Caenorhabditis elegans: one gene and its partner. The protein of the gene in region 2 purifies or fractionates together with the protein of the main gene of each other region. This does not show direct contact. Each region holds a gene or a part of one and is shown on either strand. Other genes may lie near its edges.

Evidence for each region.
Region 1: the proteins of nduf-11 (region 2) and C16A3.5 fractionate together in Caenorhabditis elegans (co-fractionation; one large-scale study listed by BioGRID). This does not show direct contact.

Annotation. Positions count from the first base shown.
Region 1 is NC_003281.10:6,373,382-6,388,949, reverse strand, and holds C16A3.5 (NADH dehydrogenase [ubiquinone] 1 beta subcomplex subunit 9), read right to left. Parts: upstream 8,179-15,568; 5' UTR 8,160-8,178; coding exon 8,109-8,159; intron 7,998-8,108; coding exon 7,557-7,997; 3' UTR 7,433-7,556; downstream 1-7,432. Other genes in the region: let-716 (rRNA biogenesis protein RRP5), read right to left, coding at 1-110, 228-556, 609-1,187, 1,239-2,872, 2,918-3,021, 3,073-4,039, 4,083-5,234, 5,279-5,398; znf-622 (C2H2-type domain-containing protein), read right to left, coding at 6,049-6,179, 6,252-7,065, 7,122-7,304; C16A3.6 (Protein MAK16 homolog), read right to left, coding at 8,416-8,875, 8,925-9,047, 9,100-9,488; nfx-1 (Transcriptional repressor NF-X1 homolog), read right to left, coding at 9,941-10,291, 10,348-10,698, 10,749-11,758, 11,806-12,337, 12,388-13,289, 13,346-13,559; rps-13 (Small ribosomal subunit protein uS15), read left to right, coding at 13,969-14,097, 14,270-14,374, 14,597-14,818; thoc-2 (THO complex subunit 2), read right to left, coding at 15,178-15,399, 15,466-15,568.
Region 2 is NC_003280.10:11,338,546-11,355,537, reverse strand, and holds nduf-11 (Complex I-B14.7), read left to right. Parts: upstream 1-9,917; 5' UTR 9,918-9,922; coding exon 9,923-10,005; intron 10,006-10,085; coding exon 10,086-10,206; intron 10,207-10,256; coding exon 10,257-10,473; intron 10,474-10,532; coding exon 10,533-10,670; intron 10,671-10,727; coding exon 10,728-10,955; intron 10,956-11,473; coding exon 11,474-11,670; 3' UTR 11,671-11,817; downstream 11,818-16,992. Other genes in the region: clh-2 (Chloride channel protein), read right to left, coding at 3,450-3,547; dph-5 (diphthine methyl ester synthase), read right to left, coding at 4,314-4,817, 4,980-5,226, 5,273-5,346; pigm-1 (GPI alpha-1,4-mannosyltransferase I, catalytic subunit), read right to left, coding at 5,592-5,801, 5,854-6,213, 6,265-6,825, 6,874-6,945, 6,996-7,046; B0491.6 (DNA helicase), read left to right, coding at 7,743-7,773, 7,816-8,739, 8,791-9,063, 9,111-9,185, 9,237-9,365, 9,417-9,484; lgc-20 (Neurotransmitter-gated ion-channel ligand-binding domain-containing protein), read left to right, coding at 12,008-12,107, 13,069-13,181, 13,232-13,312, 13,359-13,471, 13,586-13,705, 13,754-14,084, 14,134-14,269, 14,787-14,914 and 2 more; rmd-3 (Regulator of microtubule dynamics protein 1), read left to right, coding at 15,956-15,958, 16,008-16,076, 16,336-16,836, 16,884-16,988.

The DNA of each region.
Region 1 (15,568 bases), on a different chromosome or scaffold from region 2:
ATCGGTTTTCTTTGGATGAGCAGTGACAAGTCCTTCGAGAAGAGTTCTTCCACGTTCAGCATCACCGTGCTTGAATTCGAGTTGGGCAAACTTTGAAATGAGTTGGACGTCTGAAACATTAAACTTAGCTTTTTTAGTCTTAAAATATTTTTGAACACTAAGAAACGCAACAAAAAATACAATAAAAATGCTAATGTTTCGAAAATAGCTCCGGAAACACGACTCACGCTGTTGGGCCTTTGGCGCACTTTTCAATGCCCTGGGGAGAAGCTCCCTCGCCGCTTTTTGGTCGTTTTGTGTCATCAAGTGCTCGGCGAGCAGAGTCCAAACTTCGAGCTGATTTGCACGGAACTTCTTAACCATCTGCTCCAAGATCTGAGTAGCTTCGGCATTTTTTTCGAACTTTTGATAGATTTTTGAAAGGGTCTTATGAACAGTGTAAGCGTTGGCGTTTTTGCAGGCACGCTCGAAAACTTTTTGAACAGTAGCGGCATCTCCGTAGGCAACCTCCATGTTGAGATACGCAGTCCAAATCTTCAGGAGTTCATCAGATTCACTGAAAACAAAGTAAATTATTATAAATATTATATATTTTAAAAATCACATACGTTGGATTGATAGCTCCAAGAGCTTCTTCTGCAGTTTTTCTGGCAGCCGCCAAGTCGGATTTTTCAATAAAGTGACTCATGTATTCGATCCAATTGATTGCAGAGTTTGGATCACTGCGTACAAGCCTTGAATGATCTTCTTCTGATTTTTCAATTAGTTCTATATTCTCTTCATCATCCGACTCATCTTCTTCACCATCTACTTCTTCTTCTTCATCCGAAGCATCCTCATCGACTTCTTCATCCTCGACTTCTTCTTCGTCCTCTTCTTCTTCTTCCTCACTCTCTTCTTCAGCATCCTTCAATGTCAATTTTCCAACAGCAGCCAAGTCTTCATTTCTAAACCCCTTATTCGACCAATCAAATCCAGGATCTTCAGCTTCAACAGTCTCCTTTGATCTTTCCTCTTCCAATAAGGCGACTTTGGATGGAACTCCTTCACTTTTTGATGACGTCCGTTTTCTATCCGGCTTCACTGTCCATTTTCTAATGAGAATGTCGTCGAGCTTCAATGTGATTTCATTCTTTGCAACTTTAACGACGGTCACACGGATAACACTGTTCGTTCCGATTTCCAATCTGAAAATCAAATGTTTTCCGAATTTTCTGTCTGAACGAAAAAAAACTTACAGATCTTGATTCTCCTCATTCACTGGGATTCGTCCGGAAACTCCAGGTCCAAGTTCAATGAATAACGATCCTTTCGAGGCGTTTTCAACGATTCCATCATACTGATCACCTTCCTTCATGAGTTTGCTATCTAATAACAATTGTCTTTTTGCATCCGTAGATTTAGAGTTAAACCGATTTTTGAGCACAACGAAATATCTTCGTGGTTTTTCTTGTAATTTTGCGCAGACAACATCAACAAGTTTTCCATCTGTCAACTGGTTCTCTGTGATTTTCTCAATGGTTTCATATTTATCCGTGATAGCAGTTGGTGTTAGAACAGCTTGTTGTCCAGATGAAAGCTTCAATCGGATGTAGGTTTTACTAACAAAGAAGACACGTCCTGTTACAGATGCTCCAATTTCGAATGCTTCTTCAGCAGTATCAAGAGTCAACTTTAATGACATATTCTTTCTGTCAACAGCCGTGATCTTTGCTTCGCGCATTTCTCCTTTTTTGAGAGCCAAGTCAACGATTCCTCCATCAGCAGCAGTTACTTTCAGATCATCAGACAGATTCTCACGAGAGATGGTTCCAGTCCAAACTGGATTGACTTCAACTTTTAATTCCTGTTTTTCAGTCATTGTGTTAGCCCCGAAACATTTGACGACGTCTCCGATTTTGTAGTTGGATTTATACGAGAGATTGGATGCACGAACCTTTCCAGCTTGAATTTTTGATGGGATCATAGTCAATTCTGCGATTCTTGGTCCCTTAGAACTCTTGATAAATCCAATAATACGGACGATAACAGCTTTTCGCACGTTCCTTTTAACAAATTCATCAAGTGGATTCTCAGCTTTCAGAAGACTTGGAGGAAGTTCAGAGACATGAAGTCGTCCAATATTATCCCCAGGAAGACGAATATCAGCAAACAATGAGTTTCTTTTTCGATTCTCTTCTAGATTGGCGGTTCCAATAACTACACCACTGTAGACTCCGAAATTTTTGACGCTTTTTGTGCTGGTTGACACTGCGCCATCAGATCCTTCAGCTGTCTGCTTCTTTTTCTTTTCGTCTCCCACAAACTCTTTATTGATCAATGTTGTTCTTGCTACATCGTCCACATCTCCACCACCACGTGTAGCCACGAAAACTCCTTCTCCAACTGACTTCTGATCATTGAGATCGATAACAGTATGAAGTTTAACTTTTGAATCAGAAGTTGGAAGATGATTTGGATGAAGTCTTGTTGGTAAATAAATCAGACCGTCTGGTGAAACTGCGCACAAGTAATCACGACGTATTGCAACGATTCTTGATTGTTCAGTAGATGGAGTGGCCAGAACGACTTCATTAGTGGAATGGTTGATATCGACTACGATAAATGATTTTGTTGCTTTCTTCTTCTTGGTTTTCTCAGTTGTCTTCTTATCATCAACCATCTTTGGTAAAATACCAGCAATCTTCTTTCCATTGTGCTCGAATTCCACTAGCGTCAGATCATCTAATTCTTTGGTGACTTTACCATTGACTTTGGAACCAGGAATTGGATAGTTGGACTGCTCGGCGAGCCATTTCACTTCTTCAACAATTGATTCCAAAAGTGGAAGAGCATATTTCTTAAGCATCAGCTCGCCAGTTTCTAGATCAGTCTAAAATTTAAATTTCATTACACTACAAGTTTAGGTTAAACTAACACATGGATCAATAAGAAAACTCTTTTTCGTTGTATCAATGCTCTCAATTGTTCCCACAATGACTTGTCCAACTTCGAGAAGTTCGCTGGTGTTCTTGGCATTCTCTATAAGCAAGGAAAAATAAAAATAAGCATTAAAGTATAAAAATTGCTCACTTCTTTCCAGAACCTTTCCAACAAGTCCACTTCCTCCAACGAGCTCCACAAATACTCCAACATTCGTGATGACTTGCCCAACGATTCCGACAATAACTTTTCCTACTTTCAGCTCATCAATCTTCTTTGGTAGCTTCATTCCTTTTACAAAACTAGCAACAGATCTTTTCACACAGGCTCGGTTGATAGCTGCCATTTTACCCATTGGCACAATAGTTGAAATATCTTCCTTATTCTCAATCAACAATCTCTTTGTTAGTCCAATTGGAGCATCAAGAAGATCGGATAGAAGATGATCATCTACAGAAGCATAAACTTCTTTCTTTCCTTCACCGGTGAAAGTGACATTTGCTTTCTCTCCTGCCTTGGCACACAATGATCCTTTGTAGATCTTTCCAATTGATATACCTCCATCAGCTGGGTTCGGTCTCTGAACCAGTTTCTTCTCGGAATTTTGTCCATTTGCAACAGCAGCACTCGGGTTAACGTCACGAAGCACAAATACAACTCGGTTGTCCTCGATCTTCTCCACATTAGCAACTACAAAATCGTTGTTCTTCGGTGTTCCTGGCAAATGAACGGCGGATTCCTTTCTAAGAACTCCACAAATGTTATTGAATGTTCCGAGAAGAAGAACTCCCGTTGGGAAAACCTTTCTGATAACGCATGGAACAGTAACTCCAATCTCCAACTCTTGAACACTGTTGACGGACGGACTTTTCAATCCAAGAATAGACTCTCGACATGTGACGATTAAATTTTTTCTCTCGTCGCAAATCTGCCATACACGACATTTTACTTCAGTTCCAACTTTATAGATGTTCTTCATTTTTTGCGCAGGAAGTGGCTTATCCGAAAGCATGCTCAAAGGAGCAAATGCTTTTACAAAATTACACACCATGAAGTAAACTCCACTTTTTGCCACGTGATGAACACGAGCATCAAGTACATCTCCACACTTTGCATCCTGAAAATATAAAAATGGAATATTTAATTTTACTTTTAATTACCTGATATTTTGTAATTTTTTGATTCAAAATATCTTTTCTCGTTGAAATGGTGATCGATCGGTCTGCATATCGAAATCCTGTGACTCGACACAGCTTTTCCGTTCCAACTTCATACTCAGTAGAAACTTGATCTGGTTTTTCCAAAAGTCCTCGAGATGACACCGCAGTGACCAATGACTTTTTTCCATCGATAGCAGGGAGAGCAAAGTACACCATACTTTTGGTTGGGAGTACATCAATTACAGTGCACTTGACTTTGTCTCCAATTGAAATTCCTTCAAACGATGTTCTTTTTTCGATACGACTGGCAGCAACAATATCTGGGTGTGCATTGAGTACAAGGATTTTTGAATTTTGTTGACAGAACATCACAATTGCTCTAATGGCTTTCCCGAGCTTCTCCGGATTCTCACGAAGGCGCGGAGGCAAATTTCGGCGAGGGAGAATTCCTTTCAGGCCATTTCCAATGTTTACAATGACTCCAGCAGTAACTGCGTCTCCTGTTGGCTCACATTCGAGAATTGTTCCAGGCATCAAATGGTTCAGTTGGAGCTTCTCACAAGACGTCATATTCAAATTGTCCTGCTCCACAAAGGAAGTTACTTTTACTACTCTTGACGTGGAAGATAGAACTCGAACAATAAGTGGCATTCCTTCTTTCAATCCTGCTGCTGGAAATTGCGATTTCTCGATGAATCCTGTTATTTGATCAAGTCCAACATCCAGAATAGCACCCTTCTCCTCAATACTGACGACGGCGGTATGAAGAACGAGACCGGCAGCCAACATATTTGGAGAGAGATGTTTGTTGAGCCGAGCTGGGTTGCAAGTTCCTTTCACCTTCCCTTTGTCGTTACCTTGCTTCTTACTAATCACACGAAATGGAACCATCTGGCCGAGTTGAAATGCATTCTTAATCTCAATTTTTTCCTCGTTGAAAAGTTCCGTAAACTTCTTCGAGACTTCTGAAGCATGAATCTTGACGGTATGTGTACCAGCGGTATGCAGAAGAACTCCATCATCGAAAACCTCAGAAACTACCCCAAAACCTGTGAGTCCTTCAATGAAGCAGTTCTCCTCAACCTTCGGAATCCAGCTAGATTCTTCTTTAGCTTTCTTGGCCTCGTGTTGTTCTGGGGCTGCGGACTTTCTCTAAAACTTGAATACTTAGAATGAAAAGAGAGATAATAACAAACCTTTAGCCCTCCTTTCGTTCCTACAAAGTCCGAGTTGGATTTGTTCAATGGTTTTGGCTTGTCCGAACCACCACCACGCGGGAAGCACTTTTCGTTTGTTACCTCATCTAGTTTAACCATCTGAAACAAAATATTCATCACCCCGGAAGAGATATTACGAGTAAATAAAATATCGACAATTTTTTGAAAACAAAAACATGGCATTTTCTTTTTTTTTTTCGGGGAAAAATTAATGAGAAAATGGAAAATAAAATTGTAAAAAAATTCTCGGAAGATAAAAGTGTGCAATCACCGCGACGGACTATTGCGGACTCGCATACCGTAGCCAATCAAAAGAAGAAGAAATGTTTTCGAAAAATAAATATTTAGAAGGCGAGAGCGAAAATGTATAGTTCTATTTTTTAATTGCTTAACAAAAGCGACGTATTTAGCAAAAAATGTTCAGAATACGCCAAGAAAAAGCTAAATTCTAAATAGGGAAGATTTCGTTGTATGATGAATAAAGTTGAAGATTACCGTAGTAAATGTGTTCGTTGTGAGACCTGCGCTCGTAATAACTTGGTCCTCCCTTTGAAGAAAATTTTGGTCAAAACACTTGATCTAATTAGAATTGTGTTGAATTTGAAAACCAGATCATTACCAAATCCCTCTTTGGTATATCGAAGCGAATTATTTCAGATGGATATTCATTGAAAAATGTCAACATAACGGGGGTAACGGCAAAAACAACAAGGTTAGCAAACAGGAACAGAAAAATTGGAATGAAGTGGTCAATGATTGTCTCCGACGAATCCGTTTGTCTTGAACAACTTGTTCGACTTGACTGCCACACGCAGATCGAAACGACGACGGAAACGCTCAACGAACTTCATGTCTCGAGCAACCTTCTTGGCCGCGACAGCTGAAATATTATTTTTGTTACATTTCTTTTTATTTCTACTATTTGATGTCATAGAATTCTAATAAAACTTACTCGTAGTTCCAGTCCAAGCGAGAGCTGGATAGAATCCCTTTGCTTTATCGAGTGCTGCTCTTGAAACAAGTCTCTGTGTACCATCAACTGGGCGAAGGTATTGTTTGAAATATCGATGAAGGTTACGGTGTCCAATTTTAGCTCCAGAAGGGAGAGTAAGCGACCATCCATCATCAAACAGTTCTGACTTATCTTGATCATCTCCATCATACATCGGACTGTAATCATAGTAGTCGTCGAGCTCAATCATGCTTTCAGGATCTCTGCGGAGTTTGCAGTGCTGCTTATCTCGCATGTGCTGCTGACAACTCTGAACTGATTCGTATCTGGCTTTAACGTCTGGGCAGAAGATACAGCAACGACCAGCTCCAACTTTAAGTCCCAAGTAGCTTAAGCATCCAAGTTCATCGCTCAAGTATTGCCTGTCTGGAAGTTGGAATCCATGATGGAAGTTCATATGAGTACGCATTTCATCCATATTAGGCTTTGTCTGTGGACAAAACAGACAAGATGTGACTGGAAGAGCATCATCCTCATTTAGTTCCTCCACACCTTCCTCCTCATCGTCAGTTTCCCATCCACTCGAGTCATCATCTTCATCATTTTCAGGTTCCTTTAGTGACTCAGGTTTCTTTGGCAAATTCTCTGGCTTCTTTCTTGGTTGCTTTGGACCTTTCTTCACATCATCCTCAATCTTCTTCTCATTTTCCTTGTGCTTTTTGCTAGCTACGTGATCAGTCATTGCATTCTCCGATTTGATTGATTTCCGACAAGCCTTGCAGTACAATGGTTCAACTGAAGCAGCAACGACTGGCTGAAAAATTGATAATGAGTAAGTATTAAGCGAACATTAGAAAACTTTTCCCCTACCTTTGTTGGGTTGAACGATGCAGCTTTCTCATTGAAAAGCTCAATTCCTATAGCTGGAAGCTCAGCAGCTTGTCTTTTCAGATTGTACCGATGCCATTCGGTTTTGTAATGATCTCTCTGCAGCTCGGCTGTCTCGAAGACGACACGGCATGTTACACATGTGAACCCTGTAGATCCATCCATTCTGATAGATCTCTGTAATAAAATGTTTAATTTAAAGCTTACAAGAAGAAATTTAAATAAATTGGAAAAAATATGCAAATGGTCAGCAATAACCATTTAAACAGATGAATAATAAATGATAATATACAATGAAAATACAGCTATATTTATTTGTTCAGTGACGTTAAATTCATAAAAAACAAAACAAAATTATTCGGTCTACGAGTGAGCTCGTTCTACTTAAAATCAATCGCATTACTTCCTCATAGTGGCCTATTTGGAAACAGTTGGGGCAGCAGCTGGTAGTTGGGTTTGAATTGACGCGATCTCCTCATCCCAAGCTTTTTCGATTTTGGCCCAGTGAGTCAGCAACTCCTTCTTTCTCTGCTCACGAGTATTGAAGTAGTAGGGGAACTGTTCACGTTCAGCCAATGTCCATTGATCCGAATCGACAATCTCATCCGGCGACTCGCGTTCACGATCATAACTGGAACCTCCTGGATCGAGAGCAAAACGGAAAGGCTTGAAATGACGTTTCTCCCACAATTGACGGCATCCGTCGGCAAGAAGGATCTGGCTCTTACGGGTGTCAACCTCATCAGCGTTAGCGTCGAATCGAGCACGGATAATACACTTTTGGAAGCGAACTTCCAGATTGTTTCCTCCATACCAGTTGTCAACTTCGCGAAGACAGCGTTTGTAGAGGCGGGTGACCTGAAAATGCAATAATTCGCTACATTTTAAACAGACGAAATCTCCAATCAGATTAAAAAACAACGCTACCAATTTCACAAACGACTAAAGCTTTTCAAAAATAAAAATTACCTTCTGTCTATGGCTCAGCGCCTTCGTGAACATCCACGCCGGCGAATCCATGGCTTCCTCCCGGTCTTCTCTGAAAACAATGGGTTTTATAGAGTACAAAAATATGTGATTGGAACAATAAAATAAAATTGGAAAAAAAACCAATCAGTTTAATTTTTAGTAAACAAGGAAAAGTAACAATTTTCATTTGAATTTTTGGGTAAAAGAGTTAAAAATTAAAAAGCAAATAACAACAACACAATTGGAAGAGGGCGAATAAAAGAAAAGAACAAAAATAACGATAACAGACAAAATGGAATGCGAAGTTTTATGCCTTGACCCTTTGTCGTGGCTCCGTTTCTTCTTCGTATTCAATCTCAACATGAGCTCGTTTCTTGAGCTTCTTCTTCTTTCCATCAGCAGCTTTCTTCCCAGTCTTTTTCTTCGGCTCCTTCTTTACCTTCTTCTTTGGTGGCTCCTCAATTTCCATTGGCTCATCACCTCCTTCCTCATCATCTTCATCCGAATCCTCTTGTTCTTGTTCTGGCTGCCAATTATCCTCGTTCTCACTGTCAGTATCTCCTGGTGACCAATGTCCATCACCTCCGTCTTCCATGTCCTGATCCTCATCGTCGGAACTATCAAAGTCAGCGACGAACTGAGTCTCACCCGTGTCTGCGTCGTCCTGCTCGAGTTCTTGCTCCACTTCCAACTCTTTTTCAGTGTTTTCCAGCATTTGTTCGAATGCCTCTTGACGGAAGTTGTAAACATCGCCATATGTTCCTTGTCTAAAAGTTGTTTCATTCAAAATGTGCACTTTCTAATATATCAACTCACTTAAGTCTGGCTAAGAGCTCTTTCTCAATAGCGTGATCAAGTTTAGCTGCAACAAGTGCCTTCTCTTCACGACGTTTCTCACGTCTTTCCACTTTCCGTCCAATTGGAATGAGTTTCTTCTGGCTGAAAATAAATAATACTATGCAAAATTCAGTTTCTATAAGTTTAAACTTACTTTCCACGGACTGCCATTTTACGCATTCTGATCAAATATTGATGAATTCGGATGAGACGAGCTTTGCACTTGTGTCTAACATATTCACTCCAATGAAGAAGTTGATCACTGATTTGTTCCAATGCTTTGTTCATATCCTTTGACAACTTTGTCTTTTCCCATAAACGACGTGGATAGTGAGATCGTTCGACAACTTTTGCGTACAAGTAACATACTCCGTTCTCCTCACGAACTGTTGCATACTGTGAGTTAGCCAATGGACACGAAGCTCTGTTGCACAAACCAGTCAAATTCATTTCATTTTTACAGAACATTTTTGGCTTTGTCCACGCTTTGTAGGCGCATTGTCCCTTGTTGAGAATGTTCCAAGTCACATCGTCGCACTGCATTTTTACCCAGTTTCTGAAAAATTCGAATTTTTTGAGTTGTTTTTCACACGAGAATTACTTCGATAAAAGGAAAAAGAAGCAAGAATTGATTGAGAAGAACGGGCAAAAAAATTGTGAAAGAACCGAAAGTGTGCGTCTTCGCGTGGCGGTGTTTGCACACTTTGTCAGTCCCGCGTGCCTTAAGGCGCCTTCTCTCTATTTTCATCTTTCAATTAAAATTTAAAGTCTCAAACAAATATTTTCACAGGAAATAACTGGGCCACAGGAACGCAATTAAAATAATATAAACACCAGAGAATATTTATTCATTAGTTAAAACAAGCAAACCGTATTTTAAAGTATTCAAAACAATGGAAATGTACTTGAAACAAACTGTTACACCGTACAATTGAGGATATGAATAGTAACATCGAAAATTGATGTGATAGTGCATGTAAAAAATCTAATACGTTTTATTCTAGTAATTCAGCAACCGGCTCCTCTTTCGCTGGAGATTCAATAGCTGAACTGGTTTCTGTTGCTGGTGCATCTTCGTCACATTGATCTTCCCATGTGGGACCTTCATCCAGTTTTTTCGCCGCCTCAATCTCATCTTCGGTCATATCGCGTTCGACTTCAACAACATACTCTTTTTGTTGCACTTTTTGCCACCCTTCTTCCTCGTCTTTCCACCAATCTTTTGGAGGTGAAGATACTAAATTACTTGTTGTCGGAACGTTACTTTCTTCATCGTCCGAATCGACATCGCTCCCCAAAAGAGCAAATTGGTTTTGTTGTTTCAATGGGATTGGGGCAGTTATTTCCTGGAAAATAAAAATATTGAAATCTGAACAATGCCAGACAAAAATTATATATTTACCTTCATTGGACGAGCTTCTCTCCGAACTACCATTTTTTCCGTACATCTTAATGGTTTCATGAGACCTTCTGTTTCTTCTTTTTTACTCAAAGCTTGATCCATTATATCTTTTCTAATAACAGCAGGTCCTGGCGTCTTTAGAGCTCCTTTGTAGTTTACAAGATCACTAATGAGAACGAGAGGCTGATGAGATTTTCCTCGTACTGCTGTGAGAACGATACTTCTTTTTGGTGGACTGTCTACACTTTCTGAGGCGATATTGAAAAAGTTGGCGTATTCATGCACGAATCTTCTCTTCTCAATACTCATTGCTGGCAGGTGAGCTCGAAAAGTGTCGTGGTAGGCTTCACCCTGTAAAAAACTATATGTATGCCCACAATTTTAAACAAATGGTAGCTTACACTTAGAATTTGAATAACCAGATCAATGAGAATCTTTTCAACAGATTTGACGAAATCAATGTTGGTTCTAACCATCTCTTTCAGATAACAAGGGAAGGAAATAGTTGGAGCGAGTTTGTTCATTCCATATTCATCTGTATCAACTTCAAGAGCTTCAGCAACTTTTCGATTTCTTTCCAATTTCTTGCATTCGTCATCACATTTCATGCAGTTAAGTTGAGAAAAACTTGTTGAGCGCTTGAGAATTCCTTCTTTGACCACTTTCTCTTCACCATCCGATTCAGATTTTTCTTCTTCTTCCTTTTCGAGTTTTGATAGAATCATTTTATCAACTTCACAGCATGGTGCGTCCTTTTTAATTCGTCCACATTCACAAGAAATTCTCACACTTGCTTTGCATGGGCTTGGCTCACACGGAGAATCTTCGTGACATGGAAGTGCGCAAGGATGTTCGCAAAGCTCTCGGATGGTTTCACATTTTTTCGTGCATTTCTCCCCTTCTTTCTCACATTCTTCACCGTGACATGTTCTTTGGCACACATGAACTCCACATTTGAGGGGTTTTTTGCAAACCACGCCACATGAAACTGAGTCGATATGACACGGTATATTTTTGCGAACTCTATGTCCACCATAACACATTTTTTCGGTGAGCTGTGTGCATGGAGGACAGTTTTGTTCACCATGGCACTTATGAGAGACAGAATGATCACAACTGTGTGGACGGACACATGGTTGGGAGCACACTGGTAGACGAGCTCCACATGGAATCGGAGGCATTCGAACTGTGTGACCACAATGACAAAATTGCTCATCAAAACTGGCTTGCAGACACGGACGGCATTGTCCAGCGTGACATACATTCTCACATGTGTGAATTCCGCAAGAAAGTCGTTTGTTGCACATTTGCAGACAAAAATGTTCATCTTGAATACAGCAAACTTCTTGGCATTTGTGCATTCCACATGACTTCTTTTTTCGACATCTTTTTGTGCAGAGATATTCACCAGCTGAAAATATATTGGTCATAGATCAAATGAAGACATTTGAAACTCACTGGTTTTCATTATTTGCAAATATTCGTCACATGGAATGACGCCTTTAGACGTTCCACAGCGACAAATTACGGATGTATTGAGATTGCATGGAGGGCAAGGACCTTCGTGGCACTTTTCTCGACAATGATGATTCTTTCCAGGAGTTCCACAAGTTAGCCATTTGTCACAAACTGAATCACAAGTTGGAACCATGTCTGTACATTTTTTCCTAGTGACTCCAAGTGATTGAAGTGTGTTCCTTCCACATGGACACGTTCGAATTCTATTGGCTCCTGTTTCACATTCTCCACACTCCTTGTCGTGACATTTCTTCGTACAATGATGAATTCCGCACGAAAACATTCCATCACACTCTGAGCCACATGAATATTTCTCGTGTGCACACGGATTGCAGGAAACTTCTTTTGGCGTTTTGCCACAAAAACAATCTTGTTCTAGAATTACAGTACACTCTCCACAATCACCGGAATGACAAATTCTTTCGCAATTGTGTTGGCCACATGAGAGTTGCTTTCCGCAGACTGTTTCACACTGAAAACATTGAATAAAACTAAAGATACAACTAGATTTCAAAATCTCACCATGACTTCTTGGTCAGATCCGCATCTCACACTTTTTTTCGTCTTTCCACAATTGCATGATTTTGTTGTAAAAAGCTTGCATTCAATGCATGGACCAGGATGACACAGTTCAGTACACGGATGAGGACATCCGAACTTTCTTGCACCACCGCATGTCTCTCCGCAACTATGTGGAACTTCTCCAACTCGGAAATTAGGATTTCTCATACGCCCACAGAAACAATAATAATTGTAAGGCATGGTTTCGTTTTCTGTCTGGCAGGTTGGACACCTCCAAGTGTTTGCACCTTCTTTATCTCTGCTTGATCTCGCCCAATCAGTAATACATCCAGTTGAAATGTGGAAAATATGATAACAGGTTTTACAGGACCAAACTCCTTGTCTGGTTGTGATTCGAGTGTAACAAATCGCACATTCATACTTATTATTTTCCAGAAGATATACCAGACCCTCTCTGAGTGGCTTATCCGCTAAAATTTTAGTTTCTTCTTCTGTCAGCGGTTCTTCTTTTTGTTCCCGTCGACGAGCTCCTTGGCCTCTTCGGCTGTTCCCAGGATTTCGAGATGGGTTTTGCACTGACTTGTTTTGTTGATTTGCAATCCTATCCACATTCAGTTGATTTCTATTGTTCTGTCTTGATTGATTTTGTGGATGAGAATCGCCTCTTTGTTCTTGTATTTCGAGCTGACGACGCTGTGTGTTCTGCTGACCACCACGTCTTCTTCTATTTTGCGATGGCTCCTGTTGTCTGGAATTTTGATTCGAATGTGTCGAGGCACCAATCGTCGGTGGAGGCACAGATGGATCGAAGAGAACCGACTGTGCTGGGTTGAATGTCGCAGCATTGGGGTTGAAGGTGAAATTAGCTTCTGGCTGCATTTGTAAACGGCTTGCAGAGGTAGCTGAAATTTAAACAATTAGTTTAAAGCTCTTTAAAGTTATTTTTGCCTTTAATTACCTTCTTTTTGTCCTCTGCCACGTTTGTTTCCACTACCACCACGATGTCCTCCTCTCGGGTTCATCAAAGGCGCCGCATCTAGGTTATCTGCGGTATTGGCTCCTACTTGTCGAGGAGCTTGACGGAAACGACCTCCTCTTCCTCGACTTGCTCGGTGACGGGAAGAATTTGTGGATGTTGGAATACTAGATGATGTTCCTTCAGTATCGGCCATAATTACTTTAGTCTGTAATTGAAACAGATAAATTATTGGAAAAATACTTTTCTTTTATATATTTGTGAAATTTTTTTATTTGAAAACGCGAAACATTGAGAAAAGCGATGCAATGTTGTGCAATAGTTCAGATGACATGACCGACCACAAACTACACATTTGAAGGGACATTGATTTTGCCCGCGTTGTCTCACCACGCGCGTTACACACGCAAAACGAGTGTTACCGTATACAACTTTTAGGACATTTTTCTTCGCTTGCTACATTTCCATTGCAATTCATTTTAGCCAATCATAGGGCACTTTTCTTACCTTTGTTCTTTCATTAATTTTGTTAATTTCTTTAATCTTTACATTTTTACAATAAACTCGACATTTTATCATCTTCTTTCAGGTAATCCGCATCAACCATGGGTCGCATGCACAATCCAGGAAAGGGAATGGCCAAGTCGGCCATCCCATACCGCCGCTCCGTTCCATCATGGCAAAAGATGACCGCCGAGGAGGTCCAAGACCAAATCGTCAAGATGGCCAAGAAGGTTTGCAATTGATCTGAGGAGTTACTTGGTGCGATTCCGATAACTACCATATGATCATCAACTGGGCTACCATTTTTCCAAGTTTGAAAATGGGCCCAGGAAATGTGAAAACCGAGTTTTCGGTGTCCATTTCCTTTTGAAATTTACGACAGGCAGAGATTTTGTATTTTAGGGTCTTCGTCCATCCCAAATCGGAGTTATCCTCAGGGATTCCCACGGAGTTGGACAAGTCCGCCGTCTTGCCGGAAACAAGATCTTCCGCATCCTCAAGTCCAAGGTAATAATGCAATTTTTATATCAGTATACGCTCTTCAAAAGCACTGGTTATCGGACTCAGACTTGTCCATGCCAGCCGTCAAAATGAGCAATATGAAATATCCTGTTTTTGGGTGAGGTGTAACTGTATTTAGATTAGATCTCAATAACACGATGACAGTTTTCGTAGAAACTAGTAAAATTCAATCAACGTCTTTTTCTAGTTTAATTATTGTTTTTTCAGGGAATGGCTCCAGAGCTCCCAGAGGATTTGTACCATCTCGTCAAGAAGGCCGTCGCCATTCGCAAGCATCTTGAGAGATCCCGCAAGGACATTGACAGCAAGTACAGACTTATCCTCGTCGAGTCCCGTATCCACCGTTTGGCTAGATACTACAAGACCAAGCGTCAGCTTCCACCAACCTGGAAGTACGAGTCTGGAACCGCTGCTTCTCTTGTTTCATAAGCATTGTTCTGACAATAAATCGTTGTTGTTTCAAATAATTCTTTTTTGTTTTACCAGTAAATTCAAGTAAAGGGCTGTTCCCATAGATTGGAAGTCGTTCGGAAATTTGACGTTGTCTTTTGCTCACATTTAGCACTTGATCTTCGACTTTTGGATTGACTCTTCGAGCAAGCATTCTATATTCGAAATACTTCCATTGCTTTCACATTCCAAGAAGTTCAACGATCCAATGTCTTTAGATTTAATGCTAACAAAAAATAAAACGAATATTTAATAATCCATCAGGATACAATAGAAAACCTCGTAGACAACATAAACTGAGATACAATAATGAAAATCTGGGGATATGTGGTGAGAGCTCATCTAAATGTTCGATGCCCACGATCTCTTCCACTCTTTCCAGCATCACGTGCAGGCTCTGCTATTCTTGATGCCTTTGGAAGTTCTTCTTTTTTTTCTTTTCGATCATCTTTGCGATCTTTTCGAGAGGACGATGTTGATTTTGAAGGCTCCTCTAGATCAAACTCAATCGCTTTTCGAGAGCCTTTCTTGTCATCTTTCTTGGGAACTGGGTCGGGAAGCTGAAATAAATCACATTTTCGAAAGGAAAATTTTGAAAATAGCTTGAGAAAACGTTAATATCTTACCGCGGGTCCTGCCACTTCAAGCTTCTCATCGGACGGCTTGCTTTTTTGCTTCTGATCTTTGAGAATCTTTTGTTCTTTCTGGTTTTCTCCATTTTCTCGCTTC
Region 2 (16,992 bases):
TGAAAAAACTAATAAAAACGTGTGAGAAGTGTCGGGGAAGAAGTTCCTCTACGTGATAACACATAAATTGTGACCAATCTTTTCTCTTCCAGTGATAAATGAAAGGAGCTGGGTCCGAGACTAATCCTTAACCGATTCAAAATGAGTGGGGCACCTGCTCTCATCTCATCTGTTACAACTCTTCATGCGGGTCCCATCTGACAAATCACTGAAATATCACCCAAAGAATGTGAACTTCTCTTGGCTCCAAATGTCAAAAGTGTCTTGGGTGACATGCAAAGAATGTTTTGACAAATCAGCATGTTCTCAGTGGTTTTCAGATGAGATTTTTGCTGTTTTTTTCAGCACAAAAAAGAAAACATCAATCATATTTTGAAAAAAAAAACATTTTGAGAAAAAGTTTAAAAACATAAACGGAAGCAACAATTGAAAAGCAGTTTGAAATGAGGGGCATTCCGATTTAATTTTCTAAAAACAAAAATTAAAATTCTATCAAATTGGTAAACCGAAAAGTCTGTCAAGCTTTATTCAATCGGTTTTACTATATCTAGCTTACTGCAAAAACCAACTAATTAGGTGGGAATATCATTGATCGGAGTGTGGAGAACGAGGCTAGTTATGTGGGAATTCTTATAGAAAAACTCATTTTCAAGAAATTTGGGTATAGGTCAGCATCAAAAAACATTTGTTTCAAATATAGCTTTAATTTGTCATATTAAAATATTATTACTAAAACTTGGCGAGTGAACTCAAACTTGAATTATAATCAAAACCAATCCTATTGGAATAAAGTTTTTTGCGGAATTATATCAGATTTTTTTCCCTTTTTTATCATATTATTTCAAAGGATAACCGGTGGGAAAAATATTTAAAATCATTTATAAATTTCTAAAACAACAAAATATTATAGTAAAACTGTTTTAAAAATTTTGGAAATGTTAAATTAATAGACCTTGCAGTTACCTAGTTTTCCCCTATCATAGTTTTTGAAGATTGGCAAAAAATAGGTATATGGTTTTTATATTCTCATTTGTTAAACTTATTTGTGTTTGTACATTCTAGAATCCAAGCCTGCAGCGATGCTCGGTAGTTCTCAAAATTTGCAAATTTTCAGGAAAATTAGACAATTTACCAAAACTATGGCTGTACGTAAAATTAAATACAAGGCCTAACTTATTTTTAGTTACTCAGTTCATGGACTGTAACAATTTCAATCACTCACTTCGAACATACAAGAACCATCACATTTTTTCAGAGTGGAATATATAATATATTCCGGAAATTGGCAAACTGGTAAAATACCACTGTGAAACTAGCTTTAAGGTTTACCTAACTCGATCTGTTCTGAAGCCATATTTAACACCCAAAAACCCTGAGCCAAAACTCCGGAGCCCATTTTATTTACGCCTTGCAGTTTTGAATGAGTAACCCTAATAATTGAATGAAAATCTAATCAAGCTTATTAATAAAACTTTGTTATAGTTTAGACCTTTTATTTTTCATGTACAACTCTTAAAAACAATTTTTATAAAGTTATGTTACCTGTTCCGATAATTATAGTTATAGTAATACTTTCTTGGGAATTTAAATGGCATCGTGCTATTGATGAACACACGCTGAAAATATACAAATAGTAGAAATAATCAATTTGAGCAAATGCGGAAGTGTTCTTCTAACTTCACACCTGCTCATTTCCTCTCCCTCCAAATGAAAACAAGGGGAGAAATAATTTGCCAAAAAGTGGGAGGAAAGTCTCCGGGGAAAATTCGAAAATCCAAAAAAAAGAAAATTAAAAAAGAGGAGAGGACGGACGGGAAAAGTTTCATGGAAATGGTAACACGGCACAAATTGAATCTGTTTCGGCAAAAAAGGAAAGGCACGGGGAAAGAGTTTGACATAATCCAATAAATTGTCAGATGTTGGTGGAATGAGAAACGCAAAAAAAAAACAATTTACTCAATTTGCAAGCGCTCCGAATTGGCTTCTCTGGGAAACATTGAGACTACCTCAAGTTTGAACGGAGCAGACAAATTCTATTCAGAAATTGCACGTTCACAAGAAAGTCTAATTTTAGAAACTATTCAATGGTCTTACAATTTCAATTTTAGCAAAAAGTTCTCACCACGCGGACAGCGAATTATTGTAACTCGGGTCGATTAACGACTCGCTATAGTTTTTTAAATTAAAATTTGATATTTATTAAACATTGTAAAGAAATTTTGTTTTTCGTGTACAAAACCCGGTCTCGAAACGATCGAAAATTGTCAAAATCTAGCTGTCAAAAAGTGTGTGCGCCTTCAAAGAGTACCATGGGACGCGGTTTCGCACAGGAAACTACAGTACTCGTGAAGACGTACGCACCGTTTTGGTAGCTAAATTTAAATACTTTAAGATTTTTCTGTCGGTTCCAGGCCGGGTACAGTGTTCTGGAAGCATCTTTAAATCCTAAACAGGAGCTTTTTTTCTATAAAAATCTATAAAAAGCAAGCTGGCAGAACCTTCCTGAATCTCGTCCAATAAAAATTATCCAGAATAATTACTCTTGTTTTTCCCCCCGTGGTCTAGAGATTTGTGTTGATGAACAAATCTCGGCAGGGACTTTTATTGAACAAACAAAAGAGAAGAACGTCTAATTACCCAAATTGACATATGTAAGATGCTTTTCCGTCCGTGCCGTCGTAAACTTCGTTTTTGGTCATTATAGACAAAAAAGACACGTCATTTCGGAAAAGACAATGTGTTATTATATGTTCGTGGAAAAATGGCTTTTAAAAGGAAAAGTTGCTCTATTGAGAATAACTTTTAAAATCTGACATTTTTTGAGAAGCACAGCTTCCAATTTCTATTCGGAAATGTCAAAAAGTATCGTAAATTCGATCAAATATGAAATGTCACATTAAGGAACATGGTATTTTTTTGGTGGGTCTTGCCACGATCTATGTCATATGGATTTACTTATCTCGCCAACAATGACTGATTAAAAAATAATTAACATTTATTATTTAAACGCGAAGTTTGGTGATTTTTGCATTGAAAGCACGGTACCCGGTCTCGAAGCGTCCAATTTTCTAAAATGCAAAGGAGTGTGCGCCTTTAAGGATTACTGTAGTTCGCAACTTTTAGTTGCCACAAAGTTTTCATGGTTTTTCTCCCGTTACCTCAAAAACTTTTTTTATTGAAAAATTTCCAATTTTTTTCTCGATAAACTTCTGTAATGAACTTGGGAAAAATTACGAAAAAACGATTATTTGAGAACTACAGTACTCCTTAAAGGCGCTCACTCTACTGCACATAAGAAAATCGGTCGCTTCGAGACCTGGTACCGTATTTTTGGTGCAAAAAACCGAAACCCGTTGAATTTCGCATTTGGGTTATAGGAAAAAGAAACAAATTTAATTATTTTTGGAAATTGTTTCACGTGTCCCAGAGAGCGTAATCGAATAACTCACTTATTATCAATATCCTTATTCGTCGTTGCAATAACTGCGATTGAAGTCGGTGGAGCCGGGAATACAGTAACATGTTCCGAAAATCCAACTTGTTTCATGAAGGAGGTCGCGTAAGATGAGTAGTAACAAAAAAAGAAAGGAAACGAAAGAATTAACTAGACGATGAACCGATGGAAGAAGACGAGGAAGAGGGAAGACATGTGTGTGTGAGCAGGGCCTGGAGCAGCAACCTTCGAAACTCCACCCTCTCCAGGCCGGAAAAAAGAGCTGTGCAGGACGTTGCGCGAATCATGATTGAGGTACTCACGGAGCACAGGGAGAAAAAACTTGTTTTGACTATTTATGTTACTAGTCTCTTTTTCGTCGTGTCAGGTTTTGGTGTTCTCAATTACAGCTCCGCCTTCTCGTGGCTCACTAGTTTTTTCCGCTTTGCTTTGCTAACTCAATAGAATATTGTCGTCGATCTTCTGGAAAATTCCTATTAAAAATACTATCTAAATAGGAATGCAATTTTAATAGCAGGAAAATTTAAAAAGTGAGAAATGTGCAACGACTTCTTCCGGTAATCCCCAGTTGACGGATGACCTCTAGTTGTACTGCCATTTTTTTTTTTGCTTTCTTCCTCCATTCCCAGGGTCAAAAGTTTGAAGGCGAAACTGGATACGGATAAATTGGAAGAGGATTAAAAAATCGCGGTGTGTGGGAAAAAGTTTGAAATGAAGATTAATTTTTTTGAGACTAACAAAATGAAAAAAAAAAAAAACGAAAAACTAAACAAAAAAAGTTTGAAAAAATGTGGAAAAAGTAATTAGCAACAGACAACAGAACAAGAATAAGAACAAAAAAAGGAACAATTTTGGGGAATTATGGCCTGAAAGTTTCCAACATGTCGACTTCCAAAGGATGGGTTTCACCAGGAATAATCAGTGAATGTAGAGGTTCGCCCATCTCCATCTCACTCATATCTTTCATACTCGCGTATACGATCTTCTGATTGTCCCATCCAACTCTTGCCAAGCCGACAACCATCGTGTTCTCATCATAGGCACACTCTTCTCCCTTGGCTTTTCGTCTCTCATAAATGGTCAGCAGTTGTCGAGCCGCTTCGGAGCACTTTTGATACCTGGCTGGCTCGAAGATCTTCCGCCCACGCATCATATTTTCGACAGTTTGCTCTTTGGTTTTGATATCCAGCAGGCATAAAGTGTGCATTCCACGTTTACGATTCAACGCGATTTTATCGTAATAGCTCTCCGGCTGCCACTCGTCAGTCCACATTACAATTGAAACTGTTTCTCCGAAATTGTAGAGTTGTAGTCCACAACAGCCAACTGCATTCATGATGGAAGCATTGTGAATCACTTTGACCTGAAACGAAGGAAGTTTTAATTTATTTTTAAAAAAAACCTCTTAATATTTTGAACACACAAAAAATTCAAGTTATATGAAAGTTTAAAGGAAGTTTCTAGTTTTTTAGTTTATGTTTTGCACGTTCCGTGACTGGAATCAAATTTAGCTTCCTCAAATCACCGGAATATTCTGTTGCTTAGCACGCAACACCAGATCCGCATGTGTAGTTGCTCCGAACGGGTCTCCAACGACAAGTAGAGCTACGTCTTCCTTATCGGCTCCATTTAAAATCGCATCAGACTCCTGCTCGACGACTGTCCGATCGGCTTCAATGATCTCTCTTCCGTAGAACTTTTCGAGATTTGTTTTGTCCAATCCATAGCATAAAATGCTTGTGTAGGCTTCTAGATGAACGCGAGCACAGTTTCTGAATAAAAATATTTAATTTTGCATTAATTATATTTTATAAATACTTGACAATATTTAATCCTTTGACAGTGATGTCTTCAACGTCTCCAAGTCCCAAACCAATCAAATAAAATACCATCTGAAGTTTTTTTTTTTAAATTGCAGTTCATAACTAATTATCAGCTGATATCAATACAATTAATAAATAAAAGAAAATCAGTTATCGGATGAGATAATAACCGATAATATAAGGTTCCAGAAATGATGGAGCAATAAAAAATGCAATAAAATTTATTAATTTTAAAAATAAATACAAGTAATTACCCATATGAAAAAGGCGACTAAAGCTTTAAGTGAACATAAATATCATTTTACAGAATGAGATCAATCGGTTTTTGGCTTGACTATTGGTACATAATGATTGATAATTTGTTTGAGAATAAATGAATTTGCAATCAAAAACAGGCAGGAGGCCAGGAACATCAAAAAGAATGTATTCCATCCTTGGAATTCGAATAAATACGCAGCGAGAAGCCAGATTCCTTGTGTTGCGAACCACGCGGCCATTAGAGATAACGCTAGTTGTCGGGACATCTGGAAAAAGGTGGAATTTAGGAAAAAACTAGTTTTAAAAATAATAATTTACCATAATTTTATGAGCGAGTAAAGGTAGAAGAACAATGTACCAGACAAAGTACTGACTTGTGCACACTTTGTTATATGTAACAAATGCGAAGGTGGTGATAAACCAGCAGAAGGGAAGATCATCGTAATGCTTGAAGGCGAAGAACACGATCAGCACAATTTGTGGAATGAATGCTCCGAGGCCGATGATCTGTGACATTGTCGGATTCGCTTCATACAGGTACAATAGGTAGAAGTACGGCGAGAAGTTATGGGCGAGATCTCTTCTTTTGACGTGGTAGATCAGATATTCATCGAGGAATAGTTGTCCGTAGATTTGGAAGAAGAATAGTACCACCGCTGCGAATGATGTGAGAGTTACCTAAATCTTTTTAACATTGAGAATTCCATGTTTTTAAGAAAAATAACTTACCAGCATATATGCGAAGCCTTTCCAGTTAGAAACCAAACTTTTAAACTTGTTCACAACACAACTTTGTTCTCCAATTGTTGAAAGACTCAGAAAAACTGATGGGAGATAAATCAATGGATAAATCTTCAATTGGATCGCAAGGGCGCCGTGAACTAGAGCTGCAGATTTCCAGTATCCTTTTTGAAGTAGCACAATATTCAGAAGCACGACTGCAGCAACAATAGATTCTGCATTTCCTCTGGCTGAGATGATAGCGGTCAGTGGATTCGCAAGCCAGTAAATCACGACATTCATTGTTTGATCATCTTTCATTTCTTCTCGTGTTTCGCTTTTTGTTTCGTTTAAATCTTTCTCCATTATTTTAAAATACAGAATCGCCACCAGGATGTCGAAAATGCAGAAGAGAATCTTTCCAAAGTCCGGGAAATGCACAACAGGCAAAAGAATCCATGCTAGCGCAGGCGTATATCGGTAAGTGGCTCTGTCGAATGGGCTTCCACCGTTTGAGACATGTTTGGCAGCGTCGGAGAACACGTGATAGTCGATGTCTGTGAAATTCACCTGAAACACTGAGTTTAAACTTATTTTGATGATGTAAAATTATCAAACCTTGAATAGATAATCGTGAATGTGTGCGTAGAAAACGAGAATTATCCTTGCCACGAATGCCACTAGTAAAATCTGGAAGAACATCATTAATTCGATGAATTCGTTGAAAATAGACAAATTACCTTATTTCGATTGAACGTTTCGTTCTTCACAAAACTCCGGACACATTGCATTTGTGGAGAAAACTGGAATATATTCGAATATATAAATGCTAAAAACCAACAAAGAATTTGTTAAAAATTGAAAAATGCAAGTGTGCTCTAGCGCAAATTTTCAACGGAGGGAACTTGAAAATTAGTTATTTTCGGGCAAACTTGTCGCAATTTTAATTGCTTCTTTCTTTCTTTAGATATCTCGCTTTTATTCATTTTTTACTAATCTTATATGTTTTGAAAGAATTATTTGTTAATCTTCATTATGTTTTCCCGGAAAAAATTAGCAAGAATCGAGTAAAACGGGTCTAAAAACGCGCTGCATATTACATGTAATCCTATTCTAGACAAACAAGTCATGCGTTTTCTTGTTATTCCCAATTTTGCAACAAGACGCAGAGACAAATTTCAAAATCATCAAAAGTCCAATAAAAGAATGCTTCCTTGCCCCGGAGACGCAGAGAATTTTCTGGCCGCTTTCGTTATTTCGTCTCTGTCTCTTTGTCCCGCGTGCTCTTTCTCGTGAATATAATCTGCGACTCTAGTAATTTTAGCACTATCTCTCATGTTCGTTTCGATTTTTGCGCCACATTCGACTTCATTTTTCGTTTTCCAAAACTTCTTTCAAAACAACTTTTTCGCATTAATTTGTTGTCTTCCTCACTCTTTTGAATTCAAAAACGAAAATTTTAAACCACCGATTGCAATTGTTACGAGATGCAAAAACCCGACGAATCGAATGAAAAACGTAAGAACAATTCAAATTATATTTTAAAATAATTATTATTAGTTTCAGATGATATTCCTTGCACATCAGCAAGCCTTCTCGACCATTTGATTCAGAAGGAAGCTTCTGCAGCAGAGGACACTGATCCCTTGGATCATATTGGCAATATAGGAGAAGCTATCATTGGACAATTTTCGTCTGGAGCAGATGTTGGAACCGAAATTCTACAAAATGCTCTCAAAATGTTCGATCAAGCAATGGCCTACACGAATCCACAGGCTCCACCAAAACGAAAATATAAACGAAAAGAAGCTCCGATAGAGGATGCTCAACCTACCACGACTTCATCAGCTACGCTAGCTTCCTTGCTCACTCTCAATCCGGTTCCAATTGAATCTAGTGCGAAAAGATTCCATCAAAATGATCTACGAGCTGGTTTTTCGCCACGTACCAAGTTCGACGTGGATTGTTCGGATTTCTTTCTTCTACAAGGATCTGATGCTGACACTCAATTCAATAATCTCCACAAGAAGCTCGAGAAGGAGAGAACGCAGATGTTTGATGATCAAGTTTCGAAAGATGTTGAACGACTTCTAAATACCGCAAACAGAGTTCACGGTCCCCGAGAATGGACTGCCGAGGAGAAAGCCGAATTCACTTCATACTGTAGAAGCTGGCGCAGTGGAGCATTAGGGGCCGATGACAAGCTGAATCTTCAGAAATTTTATTCAAAAGCGTACGGAAAAGTTTTCCAAGGACTGAGCGAAAATAAAGCTTCATCGGAGGAATCAGCTATCGATTTTTCTAATTTCATGGGTGTCGGTAGTGAAGATCCTGCTAATCAAACAGAAGACGTACCAGGTGGAAGCTGCAAGGCTTCTCCCGACAATTTCTCATTCTCTACTTTGAATCCAAGAATGAAATACGAGAAAGAGAAAGAATTTCGGTCCGCTATCAATAATATATTCACGGAAGTTTTCAAAGAATGTAAGTGAATATTGTAAAAGTTTTTATTCAAACAAAATTCTTTATTTTCAGTTCACTCAAAGAAGCAATTCATTCCCAAACCAACTCGCCTGGACGTTCCGCCGTGCGAAATCGAGCGGGAGCATTTATCAATGCTGATGTCAAAGTTCAGTATAGCTATGGACGATCCAGAAAAGGAATGGAATGTTGATGAGCTTCAGGAACTGCGTCGATTCTATACATTATTTCGAGAAAAAAATCATTTGCCATTCGTTCAAACTAAGGAATTCGGAAAATTTCTGCGTAAAGCATTTGGAAGACTAGAGCATTATGAGCTTCAACGAGGTTTTGCAATTAATTTATGGAACTTATATGATTGTTAGTTATTTCAGAAAATGACACTTCTCTTCAAGAAAAACGAAAATTTTGGCAAGAATACAGGAAAACGCATGTACCACCGAAAAGAGGTGATTTCTAAAATAAATTTTCACATTTTATCCCAATTTCGTACATTTCAGAGCGAAAAGCGTGCGCGGCTAGAACCACACCAGTAAGACCTTATATAAAATCGAATATTGATACAAAAGGAGAAACTGAAGAAGAGAGAAGATTGCGGAGAGCTGCGTATCTTCGAAAGTGGAGGCTAGGTAATATAACATTTTTGTAATAATACATTTAACAAATTATCGATTTTTCAGCTCAAAAAGAGAAGCATTCAGCAGACGTCATGTCACAGTTCAAGCACCAGGAAGATGTCGCCTTGTGATTTCTTTGTTTAATATTAATCAACTTTTTGTTCGCATCTCAGGAAATGTTCTTTGAAAAATAATTTGTTAGATAAAATTTATTTTAATCCGAATAAATATTTTATAATCTTTTTACTTATAGTTAATACAAAATTATAAACTCTAAGAGCTTTCAAAAAGCAAAAACCGCAAAATTAAATGCAAAAAGAAATTACAAATAAATCGTTTTTGAAAATCCGCGCAAGGACGAAGTATGCGCTAACATATGATTGTTGGCGCGTTTCTCATTCCTTGCGCGTTTCCCGTCTCGGCCGATTAATTTTTCAGTGTATTTTTTTCTGTTTTTGTTTATTTTATCCGCATTTGAATACATATTTTTGGCTTATCTTCTTTGGAATTTTTTGAAAGTATCTATGAACAATTTTTTATTGTTATTTATCAATCGATTTTCAGGTAAAATGGGCCACGGAGAAGAACCATTGACCGCCACGTATAAAACGCAGAGACCTCCATGGATCGGTCTTTGGAGTGATCGTGAATAGTAAGCTTTATTCTTTTTCTACTTTTGAAATTAAATCTAATTCAATAAAATATTTTAAAATGGTAAAATTTGTAATTCAGCAAGGGACGTGCCGACTGGTGGAAGGAGCCAGGACTTGAAGACTCTGTCACGCGTTCTGGAAAACTTCGTCTTTATCGTGCTCGTTTCCGTGAGGAAGATCCAGATTGGTATGATCCAAAGGTACAGTTAATTTATTTTGAGTGATATTCGCTAATTTTTTGCGTTTTCAGGTAAAAGACGGAGAATCCCTGGCCGGACCTTTCGGACTCGATTCCAAGAAGACCAAAAATCTCACCAAAAAAGGAGATCAGCCAGGAGAGCTGTCCGAATTCCAGAACAAAGTTTACGAAGGATCCCACCAGTTTAAGGCTATCGCTGAAAAGTTTGGAATCAGCAAAGAGCATCCAGGACTATCCGTTAGTCCAACCTTGAGCGATAATATGCTAAGTGAGGAATAATTAAAATTTTATTATAAGTATCCTGCTACAAAACTTTTTTATTTCCAGCTCCAAAGGACGAGTTAGGCAGAAACGCCGTGTTGCCAAACTCTTGGTATCCTGCCGGACCCCGTTTCTTCGACAGTCCACTCAATGAGGGATCTTTCTGGAAAGGACTTGCCGCCGCCAAGTATGCTGGAATTTTGTGTAAGACTAGATTAAGATTTAAAAAATGTTCACGATAATCATAAAACATAATTTCAGTGGCTCCATACACTATGCTGGAAATCCGTGCACTCAATACAGTCTCGGTATCCGAATTCTCGCCAAGAACCTATATGAAGAGATACCTCCAACTCGCTCCATTCCCATTGGCCGTTGCATTCGCCTGGGGCTTCAGTCTTTCAGCAGCCTCATCGATCCGTCATAAGGATGATGTCCATAATCATTGGTTCGCTAGTGTTGCTGTTGGATCAACCGTGGCTACCATGAGTATGTTTTGTTAAAAATTGTAAGCCAATTTGGCGAAATGATCAAAAAACGTGGTTTTCAGAGCGTAGAAAAAAATTTTAATTCTATTTAAATGATTTCTTATGTGTTTTCATCAGATTTTCTGTTAAATTCGAAGAAAATCACATGGAAAAAATTTAAAACAGAAACTAATATATTTTCGTAATTTTCCAAAATAGAAAAAAATCAATTCAAAAAATTATCTTTCATGGTAGCAGCCACATTATCATTGTATCTCATAATCAATTAGTTCTGATTCTGTCCGAAAAAATATTTTGTTCGAAATATTTTAATAAAAATTAGTCTGAAAATAATAAAAATTCGGCTTAAAATATGAATATTTATTTTTAAAATTTAACAAAATTCTCTGTAAATCTGGCAAAACTTGTACATTTTTATTTTTTAACAAATAAAAAATCTAGACACAAAATCAAAATCTGATTGTCCTGGTTAATTCCTGAAAAATTTAATTTTTCGTTTCAAAACCACTATTTTTCCAGAGAGCAACGTTGCCCTTGGAACCACTGCCGCCATCTTCACCGCCATCCTCGGAGCATTCTGGCAGTATCAACGACACTCGGAGACTGGACTCCAAGGAATGACTGCTCATCCACAATCTGCCGGAATCTGGGGAGGACCACTTCTTTGGCAGAAGATGCAACTTGGAAATGCCGATGTTCCGACCACACGATACTGATTGGATTTTTGAATTTTTTCTAGCTTCGATTCTACAATCATGTATAAGATTTTTAGTTTTCGAGAAAGAAGCATATAGCACTCAAACTTTAATTTTTTTTTTCTTCTTTTCTGCTCTTTTCCGAATAAAATCAGCGGTCATAGCATGAAAATAGTGTCTGTGAGTCGAGACACCGGGGGAACAACAACACAACGAATCGATTGTTTCACACGCTGGCTCCCCACCCCGCTCCGTTGTCCTGGTAACAACAAGAAGCGGGCGGTTCTTAAGAAGGGATACGCGTAGCAGCACACATACATACAAACTCGCATAACTTATTCCCTCTTGCTGGTCAAAAATGTCGTTTCTTGTGCTCTTTGGAGCACTTCTTCTCATTCAGACTTCTGAGCAGATGGTTCAATGCAGGTACACGAAGAATTTGACAAATCGAGCAGATGGTGAGTTTGGAAATTCCGAAATACTTTTTTTTTAATGGTTTTGGAAGGAATAACGTTGCCCACGTAACTCTCGGAAGTGAAAATTCAAATTAAAAAAATTTGCGAATTCTTTTCTTTTTTTGCATTTTGAAAACTGCGAAATTTAGCGATTATTATCGCAAAAATACGATACCCGGTCTCATCACGACAAATTTGTGTTAAATGCAGAAAAGGTGTGCGCCTTCAAAGAGTACTGTAGTACTGTAGTTTCAAACTTTCGTTTCTGCGCAATATTAATCGACTTTTGATAGAATTTCGATACTTAAAAATGCACTTTTTTATTAAATAAATTTCAAAATCTAGAGAAAATCTATGAAAAATCCGGCAGTAGCAAGAGTTTGAAGTTACAGTACTCTTTAAAGGCGCGCACCTTTTCTCAATTAACACAAATTTGCCGTGTCAAGACCGGGTACCGTATAGTTTTCTTACAATTAATTGAAAAACTGAAATAAAATACATGACTTTTTTTTTAACCCATGAATAACACAAGAAAACAATGAAGAACTTCGGTATTCTTTAAAGGTGCACATTTCTTAGAATTTTTGAAAATCGTTCGTTTCGAGACCCTCAACCGTACTTTTGGGCAAGCTTCCATCGAACCAAGGAATTACATTTCAAATTTATTTGGAGATCACGATCATTTTCTGTTTACGCATGACTGAGCGCTTTGACTCATTAGTTTTGACGGCTAAAAGTTGATATGTTGATCTTTATATTACGCAGACGTCGGAAGATGATCATTTTTTCCATATTTTTGGGTCTCGCCACGCTGAAAACAAATTACAGTAACTCGGGCCAGGGGCCAAGGGCCGCTTTTGCATGTCATTCTAATTAGAACGTGCGTGGCCGAGTTTCTCTTTTCGCGGGCACCTGGAAAATTTTTTTGGGTGGTCTCACAGCATAACCCAAATCTTTGTTTTAGGAGGAGATGAGCACTGTCTATTCTACTATCTTCTCAACAAGGAATACGAGAAATCTGGCAGCGTACACTCACTAAGCGCATATCCTCCAAATTCCGACGAAATGACGATTACTGTAATTATGATTTTCAGAGGAGACTGAAGTTTAAATATTTATATTTTCAGATAGAAAATGTGCTTGTCAAATACGTGGAATTGGTGAAAGGATCTAGTTATCAATTCAACGTTTTTGGAGATATTTATCTGGTAGATGGGATGACAAAAGTGGGAAATTAAATGCAAAAATTTGCAGAACTGGAAAGATGAGCGTATGAAGTGGGATAAGAAAGGCGAATTCGAGAACTATGAACACTTGTACATTTTCAATTCAAGTGCCATTTGGACACCTCATGTGATTGATCACACGTAAGCTTTTTTCGCAGACCGTACATTTATATGGCTGAATTTGGGTTTAAAAAATTAGTCGAGAGTATCTCCTTATTTTAAACCGCCTAACATTAGAAATGAACTATTTTCCAGACTCTGCTCTGAAGGTGGTTGTTCTTATTCAGTCGATGACGTTGATATCTATGACGATGGAACAATCTACGCGAGAATTCAATTCAAATATCTTGCAAGTTGTACGGTGGATTATAGGAAGTGAGTGATTTCAGTAGCACATCTTAAACTCACTTGCAACCATTCCAGATTCCCTGAAGAAGACGACAGCTGCTGCATCTTCTTCACCGCCTTCGAGCCGAACGTGGAGCAAACCACGCTTGTGCTCGAAGGAAAGGAAAAAGAGAAAATGAATCGACCTGTCTACGCGCAAAAGATCTATGAAAAAGAAAAACAGCTCAGTGATATTGTTCAAGAACACTCCCCATGGGTAGTTGTCGAGAAAACGATGAGCACTTCGAATCTGGGAGGGCTAAAAAGCTTGCAAGTTATGCAAGTTTGTGTTCGAGCTGAAAAGCAGATGAGCACTGTCCGTGTTGCTCTTTTATTCCCGGTTACGCTGGCGACATATGTGATGCTGGTGAGTGGATGCGAAGGAAGTATTCTAGGAATTAAACTAAAATTTGCAGGCCTCACCTCTCTTCGGAGATCTTCGCACACAAATCTATGTGAAGCTCTTCTCCCTCCATATTCAAACATTATGCTTTCTCTACCTTTGCACCATAACTCCATTGAACGGTTTTCTTGGAGTCAGACCACGAATTTGTAAGGTTTTTTGATTCAAAACTTTAATTCTCTGACTTGAGATATCAGGCAGTAGGCACAAGTTAGGCAAATTCAGCCTTAAAGACGGTCAGATATTTTTGTGACTGCCCCCATGAAACTTTTGAAGCTCACAAATTGTAAGGAATAGTTGAAAAATTGCTAGCTCGCACAATAAAAATGAAGTGCCGTACCTTTCCCAATTAGACTTTCTCTACCTTGTTCTACTTTGACGGCTTATATCTCGGTTGTCTTTAATTTTATCAAAAAATGCTCAACTAACAAAGGACGGGAAAAATTCTTCTCTACATTTTTATAGTTAAATATTTTTTGATAAAACTTATGACAACCAAGATATAAGCCATCAAAGTAGAGCAATTGGGGTGCAAGTTGGATAGGGAAAATACGGAAAGGTTTCTGAAGAACCAACCCGGGTGGAGTACTGTAGAATTATCTTCAATATATTCTGTAGTAGCCAGTAAAACATCACCAAAATAAAAGTCTGGAAATTTCTTTTCAGACATTTTCTACGAACTGATCTTTACAATCAGCTTTATGAGCATTCTGGTAACGCTTGTAGTTATGGCTCTCAGTCGTGTCAAACGAAACGTCCCACCATCTCATCGGCTATTCCTTTCAGCGAAATTGGTAAGCGCTTCCCTAACTCAAAATCTAACAAGAATCTTCAGATAAACCGAGTTGTATGCTGTATTGAGCCGGAAAGAAGTGATGCTTATCATCGCTACGTGGAAGAGGACACTCCGGAAAGCCGAACTACAAGCGAGGTTAGTCAGCAGCAGTCGGTGATAAGACCTGGCGCCGAGGTAGAACTTAGGTCCTGAATATTTGGAAACTTATAAATTATTGTTTCAGCTCGACTACACTCAGGATTGGCGGCACATCTATTTGGCTATGAACAACATGTTCTCGGCTTTGATGTTCTCCGTTTTTCTCTTCATGACTTTCTTGGAATTCTTTTAGAACGCGGAAAGTTTTAAACTTGCTTATCATCATTTTAAAATTTTTTTGTTCACCACCTGAGCCTACGCACTGTAAAAAAATCTGTCAATCTGTCCTGTTTTCCACGCCTTATTTTTATACTTCAAACTTGATTTATACAAACTTTCCATTCTCTCCCGTACCGGAAATTTCTGTCCCATTGTGATGCCTACGTATCTGTAATATTTTTTGCGATAAAATTTTTAAAATAATTTTTTTCATAGTCTGATACACACAATCAAGTTCCGGCTTCAGAGCCATGGGAGTACGGTAGTGTCGAAGACTTTTGCACGAAGCACTTATCTTTGGACTTACATATTTTCAGCAATTCTACAAAATGTTTCAACACTTTTTTAAATCAAAAGTTGGTCAAAAAAATATAGAAAGTAATTTTTAATTCATTGAAAAAATTCTTAAAAACCCTGAAAGGTGCAATTTTCCAGTTACCTAATTATCGAGCTTTGTTTTTGCCAATTTGCATTTTATTTTAATTCCTTAATATTTCACGCTAAAAAAACTTGAAAGGATTTAATTTATTTTCCAATAAAAATTTCAAATAATCAAATTTTTGAAAAACCGTGGCCTCCCTATTCCCTAATTCTTGCAACGTGGCATTCCACAGACTCCACCCCTTCTTGAACTTCCAAATCAATTATTTCCCGTTGTTAATCAACACCGATCAACCACACCATGGTAAGTTCTATCGAGTTTCAAAAAAAAATTTCATCGTTTTTTTTTTCAGAATTTTGATGAAATTGACAAGACCTTCGGAACCAAAAACCGTGATCAAGGATATGATTTGCTCAAAGCGGTAAGTTTTAGATATGGAAGATATTAAGGCTCCCATGATAAGCACATGGGCCTGCCTTTAACCTGCCTGCCACGTGAATTCACATAGTTCTAATTTTGTGATTCCACTCGTTTTGATGAATGTCTAATCACGAAATAAAAAAGAAGTTCACGTGCAGGCAGGCGAAGGCCAGACAGACAGGCGCTTTGCCGCCTACATGAGAGCCTTAAGAGATGTTATAAAGAATATAGTTTCATTGTTCATCTCTTTCTATTTTCAGCGTCTCGACAAAGGCGATCGTTCGGTGGAAGTCTTGTGGAGACTTGCTCAAGTGATTCATGAGAAGTCAGCTTGTGTTCCAAAAGCTCAACGCAAGGCAAGTGTCACTGAAGGACTCAAGTTTGCCGAAGAAGCTGTCCAGAAGGATCCAAACCATTTCAAGGCATTGAAGTGGAATGCAGTGTTGACTGGACAAGCAACCGAATACATGGCAACCAAGGAAAAGTTGGAATGCAGTAAGAAGTTCAAGGAATTGCTCGACAAAACTCTTGCCAAGGAGCCAAAGGACACAGCTGTTCTCCATTTGCGTGGCCGTTATAAGTACTCGGTGGCGTCTCTGACATGGCTCGAGAAGAAGCTTGCTGCCACTTTCTATCAGCAACCACCATCGCATTCGTATGAGGAGGCCAACGAGGATTTCCTTGCTGCTTACAAGGTCAATCCGAAGTGGATGGAGAACACTTTCTACGTGTCCAAATGCTACGTGGCTATTAAAGACAAGGTAAGGAAGCTTCATGCAAATTTCTAAAAAATAGTTAATAATTCCAGGCCAACGCTCGCAAGTATCTCACTGAAGTTTGCGACATCGAGCCGTATTCGGACGCTGAGCAGGAGTTTGCCGATGATGCGAAGCAGATGTTGTCGAAGCTTTAGGCTT